Saccharomyces cerevisiae S288C: one gene and its partners. Changing the gene in region 1 together with any one later gene gives a genetic interaction. Each region holds a gene or a part of one and is shown in the gene's direction. Other genes may lie near its edges.

Region 1 (8,314 bases):
AAGGTGATGAAGAAAAAACAAATACTTATTTGACTTCAAACGATAACTATCAGGAACTGTTGAAATTAAAAGTGTCGCTGGAGAATATCGACAATGGGTATTATGACCCAGATTTGTTACGCAAACAGTCAAGAGCACAGTCTTCAAGCACACAAGAAAGCAGTGGTAGTGCAAACGGCGAAAAAACTGCAACTGGCGCTGGCTCTCTGGAGACTTCTTCAACCAATGTCCCTACAGTATTTGCTGGCGGTCCCAGAGATAGCCACAATTCAGTAGGCTCCATTGGTTTTCCAAACAGTATGAATATACAAGGCTCAAGAAGATCGACATCAGGATTTTCTCCACGCGTTAAGATGAAATCGAGCTTAAGCAAGGAAATAGATCCCAAAACTTTTTATGAAGAGTACGAACCAAAAGAGGGCAAAAGTTTTGATGATAACGATGATCAACAAACCAACATCGGAAGTTTTAACCTTCATTTGTTTGATATGAATTATGGTTCCATCAGCAGCAGTAGCACTAACAGCATTAGTAGCAGTGATTTAGAAGAGAAAGAAGAACAAGAGCAACTTCAAGATTTATTGGAAATAGAAAGAGAAGATTCTGCTGAGATCTTAGACGCAAGATTCAGAAACAAAGAAGATGATAAAGTGACGAAGGATATATCAAATGACAAGAAACGCAATTACTTACCGCATGAAAAAAATAACTTGAAAGCCAAGGAAGGTAAGGAAACTAGAGACGTAAGGGAGGAGGAGGAAGAATTCGATTTTGGTTTGGGAATGCTTTCGCTCAATAAAATAAAAAGAGAAGCCAAGCATGTCGATAAGGTGGACGATTCTGTAGACCCTTTATTTAAATCATCTGCTTTCCCTCAAAGTCCCATTCGAGCATACGGGTCTACCACAAGAACTAGTTCGGCTTCTGGAAAGCCATTCAGGGACAATCGTTCATTTAATGCATTTTCTGTTTTGACATTAGAAAATATGGCGTCTGCAAATGCCCTACCTCCCGTTGATTATGTCATAAAATCAATATACAGAACCACTGTGTTAGTGAACGATATCAGACTAATGGTTCGTTGCATGGATTGCATTGAATTATCTAAAAATTTACGAGCGCTCAAGAAAAAAACTATGGAAGATATTTCGAAATTGAAAGGCATCTCTAAACCGTCACCATAGACCGCTACGTCCCAGGATAGTTACTCGCACATATAAAGTTCTTAATAATCCAAGAATATGCTGCTATACATCTCAAAACGGATTGCTTCCATATGGGCGCCACTTTTCTGTTTCTTTGCTATCAAAACAGTTGGCACCAAAAAGCTACTCATTGCAAAGGTTTATTGCTTATGAAATATTGCTTTGTGAACAGATTCAACCGAAATTACCCGGTGAATATGACTATGTAAGTTATTAGTATAGGTTGCATTTGCTGTATTCGTTGATAAGACAACATCTTGTATCATACTAGTTTCCGCACACTAGTATTTCGTCTACTATTGACTTTCTGATAAGGTTATCTGGTTCCTGTATTTGCAGTTTATCGAAGCGGGCAGACCAGGTCAGCTCAGGACAATTCAAATTCAGATAATGAGGCACAGACTAATCATAACACGAAAATTGAATACATCCCACGATATAGCATAACCAAATGTCGGAACATAACTAGCAATACAATTTTTACATCGGGCCGAATCCGTCGGAGAGTGATAAGACGGAGTTAAAATATCTCTCAAAACCATGGAACAACAATATGTGTACATATATAAAGCTTTTGAGTGAAAAGATTTCTTTCCACTATTTACTGTCAATTTTATTCAACACGAAAGGGAATTAAGTGCACATAAATACTTCATTTCTTGATAAGGAAGTATAATATTGCTCCTAAGAAGAGTTTGAAATGAGCGATGTTCTATCTCAATATAAAGGGTGCTCAGTCAGAGATTTACCCACACCCAATTTCGTTATTAATGAAGAAAAATTTGATAAGAATTGTACGACAATGTTGAACAACGTTGAAAAGCTCAGCCAGGAATGTGGCGTACCAATCAAATTTCGTGCACACGTAAAAACGCATAAGACAGCAAAGGGAACTTTGAAACAATTGGGCCACGGACTTCCATTGGCTAAACGCACTACAAGAGCCATATTAGTATCAACTTTGAAAGAAGCAGAAGAACTTCTTAATTATCAAGATAGACAATGTTCGGATTATATTGACGATATAACATATAGTTTACCCTGTTGCGTTCCAGAGTTTATTCCTCTTTTGAGCAATTTGTCAAGAAGGGTGAATAATTTTCAGGTTTTTGTTGATAACATTGAACACTTGGAGAATTTAAAGAATTTCGGTAGGCCTGCTTCCGGCAAGAAATGGTCGGTTTTTATCAAGGTTGATATGGGGACTAAGAGGGCAGGTCTTGCTTTCGACTCTCCAGAATTTTTGAGTCTTTTAAAAAAACTGACTTCCTCAGAAATTAAAGAAGTAATTGAGCCATATGGGTTTTATGCTCATGCCGGACACAGCTACTCTTCAACCTCGATCAACGACACTCAGAATCTTTTGATGGAAGAAGTGAAAGCAGTCAATTCTGCCGCTAAAGTTTTGTGCTCTGTGGATCCTCAGTTTGATCCTTCTAAATTAACACTTTCTGTGGGCGCTACTCCGACTTCCAATTCTTTGAAACTCGATAATAAAAGTACCCTTGTTAAATTCATTACTACTCAATTAGTTAGTACGCTTGAAATCCACTGCGGTAATTACTGCATGTATGACCTGCAACAGGTGGCAACAGGCTGTGTCCAAGATCACGAATTGTCTGGTTTTGTATTAGGAACAGTACTATCATCTTACCCTTCTAGAGGTGAATTGTTGAGTAATACAGGTGTAATGTGTCTAACGCGAGAAGCATCCTCAATAAAAGGGTTTGGAATATGTGCTGATTTGGAACATGTGTTAAAATCCGAGAGTTTCAGTAGGGAATGGTATGTAGCAAGGGTCTCTCAAGAACACGGGATACTGAGGCCAATAAGAAACTGGAACGAAACTACTCCATTAAAATTAGGCAGCAAAATTGCCGTCCTTCCTCAACACGCTTGTATCACAATGGGACAATTTCCATATTATTTCGTGGTAAACAGCGAAGGCATTGTCAACGATGTTTGGTTACCTTTTCAGAAATGGTAAGCTCTCTTTTGTCGTTGGTTATCACTCTCATCAAAGCATCTCTGTGTCTATGTAATTGTGTATCTATTTATAAATAGTAACTAAGAGTAAGGTTGTACACAGGTTGGTCTAAACACCCTCTTGTTAAGCTTCCGCATTACCTGCGAGCTGGTAATTGTAATACAGATTTATTTGTTGATATAATGCTATGAAATTTCAACTACCGTCATTGAGCTTCTCAATAAAGTCGTTACGTACGAATGAAAAATTTGAATAATTTAAACCTTCGAAAAGATCTTTGAGTTGTACTTATTAAACCTGAAGTAGATCATTAAGACAAACAAAGCTCTGACTGACACCAATAACTCCTACAGTGATGACAGCTATCTTAAACTGGGAAGATATATCCCCTGTTTTAGAGAAAGGCACCCGCGAATCACACGTGTCTAAAAGAGTTCCCTTTTTGCAAGATATATCACAATTAGTTCGTCAAGAAACATTGGAAAAACCTCAATTATCTGAAATTGCTTTCGTTTTATTGAATACCTTCACGATTTACGAAGACAATAGGTCTAAAAGTTTGGTAACTTCAATATTGCTTGACATCTTAAATCTAGAGCCATGTCTCCTAGAAAACTTTATCCGATTCATTTCCGACGTGGTCATCAGTAATCCGGCTACCAAAGCAGTCGCTGATTACCTTAATTTGTTAGATTGGATTAATTCTTTCTTGATTTTTGTGTCGCATAATTCTAATTTATTTGAAGAGTACATTCCAAAATTGTTGGTCGCCCATTCTTATGCAACGTTCGGTGTGGAAACTATTCTTGACAATCAAGAAGAAGGCAAGAAATCCCAAGATAAGCAGAACCAGCATAGAAAGAGAATTCGTTATTGCATTTTCCAAACAACGGTCAAAGCATTCCTTAAGTGCTTGAAGGATAATGACGACAGTATTTCCTTCATGAAGATTTCAATTAAAACTGTACTGGAGAGCTACTCTAAGCTGAAGATAACCAGTGTTGGAGTAGTTATGATAATGGGTGCACTAACTCAGGCTGCACTTCAGTTATTATCGAGGCAACCAGCTCTGCACTCCGTTTTAAAGGAAAATTCTGCAGAGAAATATTGCGAATATTTGGGCAAAGAAGTGTTTTTAGGCAAAAACCCACCATCTTCCTTTTGCTTAGAGATTGGTTTGAAGCCATTTTTAAAAGAATTTGTTTCACAAGAGTTATTCATTAAGTTTTTCATCCCTAATATTGAAAAAGCAGTTTTAAGATCTCCTGAGGTTGGTTTTTCGATTTTATCTGAGTTATATGCTGGTGTTTCTCCTGAAAAAGTAAATCTCTTAAATGCCTTTGCTTCCTCGAAACTGATTAATCAATACTTCTCGTCATTTAAAAGCTCAAAAGAGGTAGTTAGATCCGTCTCGCTTCAGTCTATGATAATCTTATTGAGAAAAATTTCCAATACTGACACTACCTTGGAAGATTTGACCAAGCTTATTGACGAAATATTTAAGAACATCAAATCGAACTTAAATGCAGATTACAAATCACTTATTTCCAAAATTCTCATAGAAATACCCTTAACGCACTATGAGGTTTCAGAAAAAATCTGCAAAGGGCTGTCCCCATATATTGGTAAAGAAGGTAATGAAGCAGCCTTGACTCTAATGCTTAACGCTTTTTTTGTTCATTATTTTAGTCTGGGCAAACCTATTGAAGACTTGGATAAAATTATATCAGCTGGTTTTGCAGATAAAAAACCTGCTTTGAAAAAATGCTGGTTTGCCGCATTTTTGAACAATTCCAATGCTGCCTCTGAAGAGGTGATTTTAAACTTTATAGACGGTTGTTTGGAATTTGTGAAAGACTCCATCATACATTATCAGACTCACGGGCATGCATGTATTCTAGCATCAATTGAATTTACAAACAAAATTTTGGCATTGGACAATACTGAGCTAAATGATCGTGTTATGCAGCTCATAGAAACCCTTCCTGAAAATTCTTCGATAGGTGATGCTATCTTAACTGCTGCATTATCAACAGAGCTATCCATCGAAAACCGTATTCATGCTGTTAATTTACTACAAGAATTGTTCTACAAGAAACCCGAATTTATTGGGTTTAGCGTGATTGATGCAATTGAAAGGAGAATGCGTGTCCAAGAATTAATACCTCAACAAAATACATCCTTTAAATATGTCACTTCTGTACTACTGGCCATTACGTCTGAGTTACCTGACAAGGAAGCCTCGATAAAGGTATTAATCAATGCTCTGGTCATAGCGCAATGGAATATTTTCAACATTAAGAATGGCTGGGCTGGTTTAGTTTTACGTGCAAGGCTTGATCCAGCTGAAGTTGTCAAAGAACATGCTAGCGTTATCATGGAGAAGATTCTTGAAATCACAGGTAGTTGTGAATGGATAGATACAATTTATGGTGCATGCGGTTTGCAAGCAGCTGCCTATGCAGCATTTATTCAGCCTAATGAGTTCACACCGATCCTTTGTAAGACTATCGAAGCAGATTTAACCGCGGATGATTTCTCACGTTTATCTGAAGAGGACTTCGAAATTTTTGCAGGAGAGGAAGGTGTTCTGGTGGTTGACGTCCTGGAAGAAAGCATGAATAAGAAACTTTCCAATAAAAATTCTAAAGAGTACGAAACTCTAATGTGGGAACAAAAAATAAGGAAGGAGCAAGCCAAAAAGAATGTGAAAAAACTTTCAAAAGAGGAACAAGAGCTCGTTAATGAACAGTTAGCGAAAGAATCTGCAGTTAGATCACACGTTTCGGAAATTTCCACTCGTTTAAAGCGTGGTATTAGATTGGTATCTGAACTTTCCAAAGCTGCTTGCTTAGTCCAAAATGGCATCGCTACTTGGTTCCCCTTGGCAGTCACAAAGCTTTTGTACCTATGCTCGGAACCAAATATTTCAAAGCTAACAGAGGATGTAAATAATGTGTTCTTGCAGCTTTCTCAAAATGTCTCCGAGAGATTAGGTAATATCAGACTTTTCTTAGGTTTGGCGACTTTGCGTGTGCACAATGCTAATGGCATCTCGCAAGATTATTTACAAGAACCACTGGTTGAATTACTTACAAGAGTTCTTTTTAGGATCAAGTTCGTCTCCAACCAAGCAGCAATAGATTCCATCAGTTTGACATATATTTTACCATTGTTGATTAATGTTTTAGAAAAGGGTAAGGCGATTGCATTAAAGAATGCGGACAAGCCTGTTGTTAAGGCTGAGTTTGTTGAAGAAGATGAAGAAGAAGAACATCTGTTACTGGCCATGGAAATTATTTCTGTACACGCTGAAGCTTTTGAGGATCCTTCCATTCCGAGAATTTCCATTGTTGAAGTGTTACTATCTCTTCTATCTTTACCCTCAAAAGCGAAGATTGCTAAAGATTGTTTCAACGCTCTGTGCCAAAGCATATCTGTTGCACCAAATCAAGAAGACCTTGATATGATACTATCAAATTTACTATCACCAAATCAATTTGTCCGTTCAACAATATTAGAAACTCTTGATAACGAATTCGAATTAGAACCTTTTATGAAATATTCACCTGAAGTTTTCATTTGCAGATTTGATTCGGATCCTTCCAACCGCGAGATTGCAGATTTCATTTGGGAGTTCAACAAATTTGTAGTCAACGATGAATTACTAAAAAGCTTATTCCCACTATTCAATCAGGATGATAGTGGCTTGAGATTATTTGCGGCAAACGCGTACGCATTTGGTGCGGTAAGTCTGTTTACCTCTGAAGAGAACTCCTCGAAAGATTACTTAAATGATTTGCTGAACTTTTATAAAGAAAAGGCAAAGCCATTGGAGCCAATTCTTGATCAATTTGGCTTGGTTCTTGTTTCTGCGAGTGAACAAAAAGATCCATGGCAAGGAAGAAGTACCGTTGCTATTACATTAAAAATCATGGCTAAGGCTTTTTCTGCAGAGGATGATACTGTCGTTAACATTATAAAATTTTTGGTCGATGATGGAGGTCTAGTAGACAGAGAGCCTATTGTTCGTCAAGAAATGAAAGAAGCTGGTGTTGAATTAATTACGTTACATGGCTCACAAAACTCGAAGGATTTAATTCCTATATTTGAAGAAGCATTAAGCTCCAGTACGGACAGTGCCTTAAAAGAGAACGTTATTATTTTGTATGGTACATTAGCAAGACATTTACAGCAAAGTGATGCAAGGATTCACACGATCATTGAAAGATTGCTTTCAACTTTGGATACTCCTTCTGCGGATATTCAACAGGCTGTGTCGGCTTGTATAGCACCACTAGTTTTCCAGTTCAAACAAAAAGTTGGTGATTACTTGGGTATCCTAATGGAGAAACTGCTGAATCCAACTGTTGCTTCTTCTATGCGGAAAGGTGCCGCTTGGGGTATCGCTGGTTTAGTGAAAGGTTACGGTATCTCGGCTCTCTCGGAGTTTGACATTATTCGCAACCTCATCGAAGCTGCAGAAGATAAAAAGGAGCCAAAAAGACGTGAATCTGTTGGCTTCTGCTTTCAATATTTGTCTGAATCTCTAGGAAAGTTTTTTGAACCATATGTGATAGAAATTCTTCCAAATATTTTAAAGAATTTAGGGGATGCTGTTCCTGAAGTTAGAGATGCAACCGCTCGTGCCACTAAGGCTATAATGGCGCATACTACAGGTTACGGTGTTAAAAAGTTAATTCCAGTTGCTGTTTCTAATTTGGATGAAATTGCTTGGAGAACTAAGAGGGGCTCTGTTCAATTGTTGGGTAATATGGCTTATTTAGATCCTACTCAATTGTCAGCTTCTTTGTCCACCATTGTCCCAGAAATTGTTGGTGTATTGAACGACTCTCACAAAGAGGTGCGTAAGGCCGCTGATGAATCCTTGAAAAGATTCGGTGAAGTTATCAGAAATCCGGAAATTCAGAAATTGGTGCCCGTACTTTTGCAAGCTATCGGTGATCCAACAAAATACACTGAAGAGGCCTTGGATTCGTTAATTCAAACACAATTTGTCCATTATATTGATGGTCCTTCACTAGCACTAATTATTCATATTATTCATCGTGGTATGCATGATAGATCTGCCAACATTAAGAGGAAAGCATGTAAGATCGTG
Region 2 (7,026 bases), on another chromosome or scaffold:
GTTATCTAGGGTCCACTAACATACGCGCAGTTCGGAAATCAGCAAACATCACTTAAAGGACACCTGCTATAAACTGAATTGTGTCCAATTTTTCGAGTAGTTAGCAGTTCAATAAAGGGCACGTTATCAATTGTTAAAGGCAAAGAATCAGAATTAAATCATAGCAAACGACCAAAATGAACAGAGTTTCGTTTATTAAAACGCCTTTCAACATAGGGGCGAAATGGAGATTAGAAGATGTCTTTTTGCTCATTATCATGATACTTCTTAACTACCCAGTGTATTACCAACAACCGTTCGAACGTCAGTTTTACATTAACGATCTCACTATATCGCATCCTTATGCGACAACTGAACGTGTAAATAACAACATGTTGTTTGTTTATAGTTTTGTCGTGCCATCTTTAACCATATTGATAATTGGTTCCATTTTGGCCGATAGAAGACATTTGATTTTTATTTTGTACACATCTCTCCTTGGTTTATCACTCGCTTGGTTCAGTACGAGTTTCTTTACAAACTTCATCAAGAATTGGATTGGAAGACTAAGACCAGATTTTCTAGATCGTTGCCAACCTGTTGAAGGCTTGCCATTGGACACTTTATTTACTGCAAAAGATGTGTGTACGACTAAGAATCACGAACGTCTGTTGGATGGGTTTAGGACAACTCCGTCAGGTCATTCAAGTGAAAGCTTTGCAGGACTGGGTTATTTGTACTTCTGGCTATGTGGGCAACTTTTGACTGAATCACCGTTGATGCCTTTATGGAGAAAAATGGTGGCCTTTCTACCACTGTTAGGAGCTGCACTAATTGCTCTATCCAGAACTCAAGATTACAGACATCATTTCGTCGATGTAATTTTAGGGTCTATGTTGGGTTATATAATGGCACACTTTTTCTACAGAAGAATCTTCCCACCCATTGATGATCCTCTTCCGTTCAAACCATTGATGGACGATTCAGATGTCACCCTGGAGGAAGCAGTCACCCATCAGAGGATCCCGGATGAGGAATTACATCCTTTGTCCGATGAAGGTATGTAAGAATAAAAAAGAATATATACTCCACATGACATACGAAATATACGTATTTATTGTTCTGTATGGAATAACAGCGATTACATAAAGATGACATGTTACTTCTTTATTCAAATTAATCTTGACGTGCAAGGGCCTGCTTGTTATTTCATCGGACAATCCCAACATCACTTTACACGAAAGCCTTAGAAGTTTATTATTTGTTTTAAGTTGGACTATAGTGATGTAGGTAGTTTCTTAGGAAGCAGTTGAGTAGCTGATTTTTGAGATAAGAACCTGGTGTAATCAATCTATAAACAGCCTAGAATCTTTTTAAGCAAATTTACTTTTACATTTATCTCTATCTTCTTTCTTACAAGAAGTTATTTTCATTACAAAAGGACATTAAATACACTAAATTTTCAATCTTTACATTGTTGGAAAGCCTCGTTGTCTTTTAAGATTTTATAAGCATTGATTTTTTTTTTCAATAATTTTCCGTTCCCCTTAACACATACTATGTATAAATGTCATTGAGTCATCTCACTTTAGATCAATATTATGAAATACAGTGCAACGAACTTGAAGCGATACGTTCCATTTATATGGATGACTTTACTGACTTAACTAAAAGAAAGTCTAGCTGGGATAAGCAGCCACAGATTATATTCGAAATTACGCTTCGATCTGTTGACAAAGAGCCGGTTGAATCTTCTATAACATTACATTTTGCGATGACCCCAATGTATCCTTATACCGCTCCAGAAATAGAATTCAAAAATGTACAAAATGTAATGGATAGTCAATTGCAAATGCTGAAAAGTGAATTTAAGAAAATCCACAACACCTCCCGAGGCCAAGAGATTATATTTGAAATTACATCTTTTACTCAAGAAAAACTGGACGAATTTCAAAATGTGGTAAATACACAGTCCTTGGAAGATGATCGATTACAAAGAATCAAAGAAACTAAAGAACAATTAGAAAAGGAAGAAAGAGAAAAACAACAGGAAACAATAAAAAAAAGATCAGATGAGCAGCGAAGGATAGATGAAATTGTTCAAAGAGAGTTGGAGAAAAGACAAGATGATGATGATGATTTGCTATTCAACAGAACAACCCAGTTAGATTTACAACCACCTTCAGAATGGGTTGCATCAGGTGAAGCTATTGTCTTTTCAAAAACTATAAAGGCAAAATTGCCTAATAACTCAATGTTCAAGTTTAAAGCAGTTGTAAATCCTAAGCCAATAAAACTGACATCAGATATATTTAGTTTTTCCAAACAATTTCTTGTGAAGCCTTATATACCACCAGAATCTCCGTTGGCAGATTTTTTAATGTCTTCTGAAATGATGGAAAATTTCTACTATTTGCTATCTGAAATTGAATTGGATAATAGCTATTTCAACACAAGTAATGGAAAAAAAGAAATAGCAAATTTAGAGAAAGAGTTAGAGACGGTGTTGAAAGCTAAGCATGACAATGTGAATCGATTGTTCGGTTATACGGTGGAGCGCATGGGGAGAAATAATGCAACGTTTGTTTGGAAAATAAGACTCTTGACAGAGTACTGTAACTACTATCCATTGGGAGATTTGATACAATCTGTTGGATTTGTTAACTTAGCAACAGCGCGTATTTGGATGATTAGATTGCTTGAAGGATTGGAGGCCATACACAAATTGGGAATTGTTCATAAATGTATCAACTTAGAAACCGTGATCCTGGTGAAGGATGCAGATTTTGGAAGCACTATTCCCAAGTTAGTTCACTCCACTTATGGCTACACTGTTTTGAATATGCTATCGAGATATCCAAATAAAAATGGTTCTTCGGTTGAGTTATCTCCAAGTACATGGATAGCCCCTGAGTTGTTGAAATTCAATAACGCCAAACCTCAAAGATTAACTGATATTTGGCAACTTGGTGTTTTGTTTATCCAGATAATCAGTGGATCTGATATAGTGATGAATTTTGAAACGCCTCAAGAATTCCTAGATTCAACAAGTATGGATGAAACTTTATATGATCTTCTTTCGAAAATGCTTAATAACGATCCGAAGAAAAGATTAGGAACATTAGAACTACTGCCCATGAAATTCTTAAGGACCAATATTGACTCTACAATCAATCGATTTAACTTAGTTTCCGAAAGTGTCAATTCTAATTCCTTGGAGTTAACTCCTGGAGATACCATAACCGTTCGGGGCAATGGAGGTAGAACACTTTCACAATCGAGTATACGAAGAAGATCATTTAATGTTGGTTCCAGATTCTCTTCTATAAATCCTGCAACGCGATCACGATATGCTTCTGACTTTGAAGAGATTGCAGTTTTAGGCCAGGGCGCATTTGGACAAGTTGTCAAGGCACGTAATGCTCTCGATAGCAGATACTATGCGATCAAGAAGATTAGACATACAGAAGAAAAGTTATCTACTATATTGAGTGAAGTAATGCTGTTAGCAAGCTTAAATCATCAATATGTTGTGCGTTACTATGCTGCATGGTTAGAAGAAGACAGTATGGATGAAAACGTTTTTGAATCAACTGATGAAGAAAGTGACTTGAGCGAATCTTCCTCTGATTTTGAGGAAAATGATTTATTAGATCAAAGCAGTATTTTTAAAAATAGAACAAATCACGATTTGGATAATAGTAACTGGGATTTCATATCGGGGTCAGGATATCCGGATATTGTCTTTGAAAATAGTTCTCGTGATGATGAAAATGAAGATCTAGACCATGATACTTCCTCGACTTCCTCGAGCGAAAGTCAAGATGATACTGATAAAGAATCAAAGAGTATCCAGAACGTTCCAAGAAGGAGGAATTTTGTAAAACCGATGACTGCTGTTAAGAAGAAAAGTACGCTTTTTATTCAAATGGAGTACTGTGAAAATAGAACGCTATATGATTTGATCCATTCTGAAAATTTAAATCAACAACGTGATGAATATTGGAGGTTATTTCGACAAATTTTGGAAGCACTGAGTTATATACATTCCCAGGGTATCATTCATAGGGATCTGAAGCCAATGAATATTTTTATAGATGAATCGAGAAATGTTAAAATCGGTGATTTTGGGTTAGCTAAGAACGTCCATAGATCTCTGGATATACTTAAGCTAGATTCACAGAATTTGCCAGGCAGCTCAGATAATTTAACATCCGCCATTGGTACAGCAATGTATGTTGCTACTGAAGTTTTAGATGGTACAGGTCACTATAATGAAAAGATTGATATGTATTCACTTGGAATCATTTTTTTTGAAATGATCTATCCTTTCAGTACAGGTATGGAGAGAGTTAATATTTTGAAAAAGTTACGATCAGTGTCGATAGAATTTCCTCCTGATTTCGACGATAATAAGATGAAAGTTGAAAAGAAAATTATAAGGTTACTCATAGACCATGATCCCAATAAAAGGCCTGGTGCTAGGACATTATTAAATAGTGGTTGGCTTCCTGTGAAGCATCAGGATGAAGTAATCAAAGAGGCTTTAAAAAGTTTGTCGAATCCTTCATCCCCTTGGCAACAGCAAGTTCGAGAAAGTTTATTTAACCAATCTTACAGTCTAACAAATGATATTCTATTTGATAACTCAGTTCCAACATCCACTCCTTTCGCAAACATTCTCAGGTCCCAAATGACAGAAGAGGTAGTTAAAATTTTCAGGAAACATGGAGGAATTGAAAATAATGCTCCTCCGAGGATTTTTCCAAAGGCCCCCATATACGGTACGCAGAATGTATATGAAGTGCTTGACAAGGGCGGTACCGTCTTGCAGTTACAATATGATTTAACTTATCCTATGGCTAGGTATCTATCTAAAAATCCAAGTCTGATTTCTAAGCAATATAGGATGCAGCACGTTTACCGACCTCCTGATCATTCAAGGTCAAGTTTGGAACCTAGAAAGTTTGGTGAGATTGACTTCGACATAATTTCAAAATCTTCCTCAGAGTCAGGATTTTATGATGCAGAAAGCTTGAAAATTATCGATGAAATATTAACCGTATTTCCTGTATTTGAGAAAACAAACACTTTTTTCATATTAAATCATGCTGATATTTTGGAGAGTGTTTTCAACTTTACAAATATTGATAAAGCCCAAAGGCCTCTAGTTTCACGAATGTTGTCGCAAGTAGGCTTTGCAAGGTCCTTCAAGGAAGTAAAGAATGAACTAAAGGCGCAACTGAACATATCTTCTACGGCATTGAATGATTTGGAGTTATTTGATTTTAGACTGGACTTCGAAGCAGCCAAAAAACGCCTGTATAAATTGATGATTGATAGTCCGCATCTAAAAAAAATTGAGGACTCTTTGTCCCATATATCAAAGGTTCTCAGTTACCTAAAACCCTTAGAAGTTGCAAGAAATGTTGTGATATCTCCTTTGAGTAACTACAATAGCGCTTTTTACAAAGGAGGTATCATGTTTCATGCAGTTTATGACGATGGATCCTCACGTAATATGATAGCTGCTGGAGGGAGGTATGACACTTTGATATCCTTTTTTGCCAGACCATCAGGAAAAAAGAGCAGCAATACTCGTAAGGCTGTAGGTTTCAACTTAGCGTGGGAAACAATATTCGGTATAGCCCAAAACTATTTCAAACTCGCTTCTGGAAATAGGATAAAGAAGAGAAATAGGTTTTTGAAAGATACAGCTGTTGATTGGAAGCCAAGCAGGTGTGATGTATTGATATCGAGTTTTTCGAACTCTTTGTTGGACACAATCGGGGTTACAATACTGAATACATTGTGGAAGCAAAACATTAAAGCGGATATGTTAAGGGATTGTTCCTCGGTGGATGATGTCGTTACTGGCGCTCAACAGGATGGTATAGACTGGATTTTGCTGATTAAGCAACAAGCGTATCCACTAACCAATCACAAGAGAAAGTACAAGCCATTAAAAATAAAAAAATTGAGCACTAATGTTGACATAGATTTAGATCTTGATGAGTTTTTAACCTTGTACCAACAAGAAACTGGTAATAAATCTTTGATCAACGATAGTCTCACTTTGGGCGATAAGGCTGATGAATTTAAAAGATGGGATGAAAACAGCAGTGCCGGTAGTAGTCAAGAAGGTGACATAGATGATGTTGTTGCTGGTTCGACTAATAATCAAAAGGTAATTTATGTTCCAAACATGGCTACAAGATCTAAGAAAGCTAATAAAAGGGAAAAGTGGGTTTATGAGGATGCAGCCAGAAATTCTTCGAATATGATATTACACAATTTATCCAATGCACCAATTATCACTGTTGATGCCTTAAGAGATGAAACTTTAGAAATAATCTCAATTACTTCTTTGGCTCAGAAGGAAGAATGGCTGAGAAAAGTTTTTGGGTCAGGTAATAACTCGACTCCTAGAAGCTTTGCCACGAGCATTTATAATAACCTCTCCAAAGAGGCTCATAAAGGGAATAGGTGGGCAATATTATACTGCCACAAAACCGGAAAATCATCTGTTATCGATTTACAGAGGTAGGCCTTTAAAGATCTGTGCGGCGCTATAACGCATCAGTTAAAGGTAAAGTATATACAATGTCTTAGATACTATATTTAGGCTAGCTGATTCATCTAATTCACCGTTGTAAAGGGGGTAGGTCACCTTTCTTATACATATTCCTGATACTAAAGACAAATGTAGGTTTAATGAGATGGTCTACTTCTTCTCTCCTTTCTCTACTTTCCATTTTGTATTTAATTTTTCGGTGAATATAAATGTGTGCGTATGTTGTGTGAGGCTCCTCTAGCTCCTACGGGAGACATTTAATAAATGATCATAATATGGCGTGAAGAATGCTTTCATTCAGAAGTTTGACTAGCACATTCGGTTTCGTATCACGATTCCAAATTAGACGGTTAGGAACTAGTTTATCAATACAGAATTTAGAAGTGCAAGATGGCCGTTGGAAAGGTAAACTAGCTACAGAGAAGAAGACCAATAGGGAACACAAGTCAGTGGATACGAATATCAAGACAATG
Region 3 (3,158 bases), on another chromosome or scaffold:
TTCGGTGTTGCAAGTCTAATCCTTGAGAAAGACGTATTGGGTAGGAGCAAGCCGGTATCTAAAAAGTCAATTGGCTGTAGCTCTTTTTTCTGCTTTTTGCTGCCAGGGGCAATGTTACTTGGAGTTGCCTCTTTTGGCTTTCTCTTCAAATCCCTTGGCACAGTGTATGATGGAGTGTTGAATTCCATTGATGTGCTCTGGATAGTTTTGATGCCATTAGTTTGATTGTTAGCCGTTTTTTTTTTGGTCGGTTTCTTGCCCACGGCAGATCTACCAATATCGTTTGGAATAGGTGCTGCGCTTGCAGATTCTTCTAATTTGATGTTTTCTGGGAAACTTTTCGGTATTTGTTCTGCTAACGGCTCTTCAAGCTTTGGAAGCTTTTTGTTTACTTCTTGTAACGATTTGATTTCCGTTTGAGGCAATGCTACACCTAAATCCTTCTCTTGGAATGCGAATGTATACAATGTCGCGTCGTTTGAAATGGCAAACAAGGTGAACCCATCCTGTGACCAAGACATATCGTTTATTGCGGTGGAGGAAACCTGGAGAGCATTAAACAAAGGTTTCATTCTCTTCGTATTCCAAACCAAAATAGTACCGTCTGTAGATCCCGAAGTGGCGATTAAATTATAGCGTGTGCTGGTGCCCTTTTTCAAATTAGGCTTTTCATAAAATGCTGGAGAATAAACAAGAACTCTACATCCATTTGAAGAAGGTGTTACCAGTGTTTTTGTAACTTTGTAGTTGTTATTTCTGTCAAGTAAAGCGGTACAGCTGGTAGCATTATTCGGCACACCTTTCACCGAGTTTATCACTGGTAAAATGTCTGCCTGAGGTGACATTGAGATTCTATAATGTAATGGATACATTTGTACATGCTGCGTAAGTTTATTTATGAGTTTGTGTGTACCCGTTTTGTTAATTTGATAGACTAAAATTGATCTATCTGAAGTCATAACAGTAAAAGTTTGGCCAGTAGGATCTATTATGCCTGTAATAGGTTTGCTCGCCTTGTCAATAGTTATTTCAGAGAGTTTATCAAAGGTTTTATGCCGAAATAATAGTATCTTATTTTCATTACTTAAAAGAACAAATAAGATACCTAAGTTTATGTCATATTTCACATCCGTTATTGTGCTTGGAGATTTACACTCGAACAGAAGCTTACTGTTCATTTTTTCGACAGAATTGATGTTATTTGTATCTCTACAGAGCCAACCTGAATAACCCCACAGACGATGTTCAGATCCAATATACAATGTTTCGAGATCACCTGTTATGAAAAAAATATCACCGGTAGTATCCTGATCCACCTGGAAAGAAACTTCTGGCTTTAAATCCTTAATCATAACCCTATCGAATGCAGTATCGACTAGTTGTTGTTGTCTCCACGCCATCACGTGACCCCCACTGCCTGCCAATATGATATAGGGACCAAGGGCAGCTAAGGCATTCACTTGTTCATTATGAATATCCAAAGGATACTTTAATAATCTCATTGTTCCGGATTGTGTAGGAACTCCTTTGCTGCGTGGCGTATTCCTCTGTATGGACGATTTAGCACTTTTTGTATATTGTTTTATGAAGACTTCATAATTCTAGCCGAATTAACTGATATTTTTTTCGCGCTTTTTTTTGTCGACCTTCCAGGAAGAAAAAATATGAAAGCGAATAAATGGAGGTGTATTGGCAATCCTTTATCAAATGAAAACAAGCACCAAATAGAATAAGTAAATCACATTCTTAAAGAAGTTGGTCATTCCAGATACGTGGAATTTTCCTGCTGTATTTTTTCATCAATCTTTTACTTGAGAAATACTAGCTTTTTTCAAATTATTCAAGATTAAGGGACTTAGAGAACTGATAGAAAAGCAGATCATGGGCAGTAGATCGGAGAATGTGGGAACAGTGACTAGAGAAGGCTCCAGAGTGGAACAAGATGATGTCCTCATGGATGATGACTCTGACTCATCGGAATACGTGGATATGTGGATCGATTTATTTCTTGGGAGAAAAGGCCATGAATATTTCTGTGATGTCGATCCTGAGTACATCACTGATCGTTTTAATCTGATGAACTTGCAAAAGACAGTTTCAAAATTTTCCTACGTGGTACAATATATTGTGGATGATTTGGATGATAGTATCCTAGAGAATATGACACATGCCCGTTTAGAACAATTAGAATCAGATTCCCGGAAGCTGTATGGTCTCATCCATGCACGCTACATTATAACTATCAAAGGATTGCAAAAAATGTACGCTAAGTACAAAGAGGCGGACTTTGGAAGATGTCCCCGTGTGTATTGTAATTTACAACAGTTGTTACCGGTTGGTTTGCATGACATTCCTGGTATAGATTGTGTCAAGTTATATTGTCCATCTTGTGAGGATCTTTATATACCAAAATCATCGAGACATAGTTCCATTGATGGTGCATACTTTGGAACAAGTTTTCCAGGTATGTTTTTGCAAGCATTTCCAGATATGGTACCCAAACACCCAACTAAAAGATATGTTCCAAAAATATTTGGATTTGAATTACATAAACAAGCTCAACTGACAAGGTGGCAAGAACTACAACGACTCAAGTTAGTTGAGAAACTTGAATCCAAAGATGTTGATTTGACGAAAAGTGGTGGTTTTAAAACCTAACTATTAAAGAAAGAAGAAAAAATTCGAAATGAAATCCTAGGCGAAATTGAAAACGAAAATGAAAATAATGGAGAAACTTCGTCATAAAATTGTGAAAATCAGGTATCATTTGTTCTCCTAGCATTTTCTTTCCTAGAATATTACTATTTTCTACCTCCATTCGTATTTTACTTTTCCTATTTAATATTAAATTTTTATATACCGTTATTGCCCCTTACGGCAATAATACAACCAGATAAAAGAGCGTGCTCCGAAGTTAGCCTGTTATATATCAACAATTTGCAAATGTGGTTACCCACGAATTATTGGTGTTATTTTAGTGAATAGCTTGAAATCTTTGAATGTAGGAAGCATCCTTATTTATCAAGAAATTGGAGAAGTGGCGGCATCGCGTGGAGACTGCCTATGAACTAAGAGGCGGTTTATATTTTAAAAACTCAAAAGCTGTTTGAAGACTAATCTGGAAGTACTGAAAAGAGGAGATTTACTCATTCTTTGGT

What was found. A genetic interaction does not mean that the proteins touch.
Region 2: of GCN1 (region 1) and GCN2, a mutation in one rescues a mutant of the other (synthetic rescue), as found in Saccharomyces cerevisiae (4 studies listed by BioGRID, with this or other methods).
Region 3: mutations in GCN1 (region 1) and CKB2 together harm fitness more than expected from each alone (negative genetic interaction), as found in Saccharomyces cerevisiae (4 studies listed by BioGRID).

The regions. Positions count from the first base shown.
Region 1 is NC_001139.9:127,978-136,291, forward strand, and holds the start of GCN1 (Gcn1p), read left to right. Parts: upstream 1-3,547; coding exon 3,548-8,314. Other genes in the region: MDS3 (Mds3p), read left to right, coding at 1-1,184; D-serine ammonia-lyase DSD1, read left to right, coding at 1,906-3,192. UniProt on the Saccharomyces cerevisiae protein: Ribosome collision sensor that activates a translation quality control pathway when a ribosome has stalled during translation. Directly binds to the ribosome and acts as a sentinel for colliding ribosomes.
Region 2 is NC_001136.10:1,024,570-1,031,595, reverse strand, and holds GCN2 (serine/threonine-protein kinase GCN2), read left to right. Parts: upstream 1-1,546; coding exon 1,547-6,526; downstream 6,527-7,026. Other genes in the region: DPP1 (bifunctional diacylglycerol diphosphate phosphatase/phosphatidate phosphatase), read left to right, coding at 177-1,046; MRX10 (Mrx10p), read left to right, coding at 6,841-7,026. UniProt on the Saccharomyces cerevisiae protein: Metabolic-stress sensing protein kinase that phosphorylates the alpha subunit of eukaryotic translation initiation factor 2 (eIF-2-alpha/SUI2) on 'Ser-52' in response to low amino acid, carbon, or purine availability.
Region 3 is NC_001147.6:403,887-407,044, forward strand, and holds CKB2 (casein kinase 2 regulatory subunit CKB2), read left to right. Parts: upstream 1-1,881; coding exon 1,882-2,658; downstream 2,659-3,158. Other genes in the region: HIR2 (Hir2p), read right to left, coding at 1-1,502. UniProt on the Saccharomyces cerevisiae protein: Regulatory subunit of casein kinase II/CK2.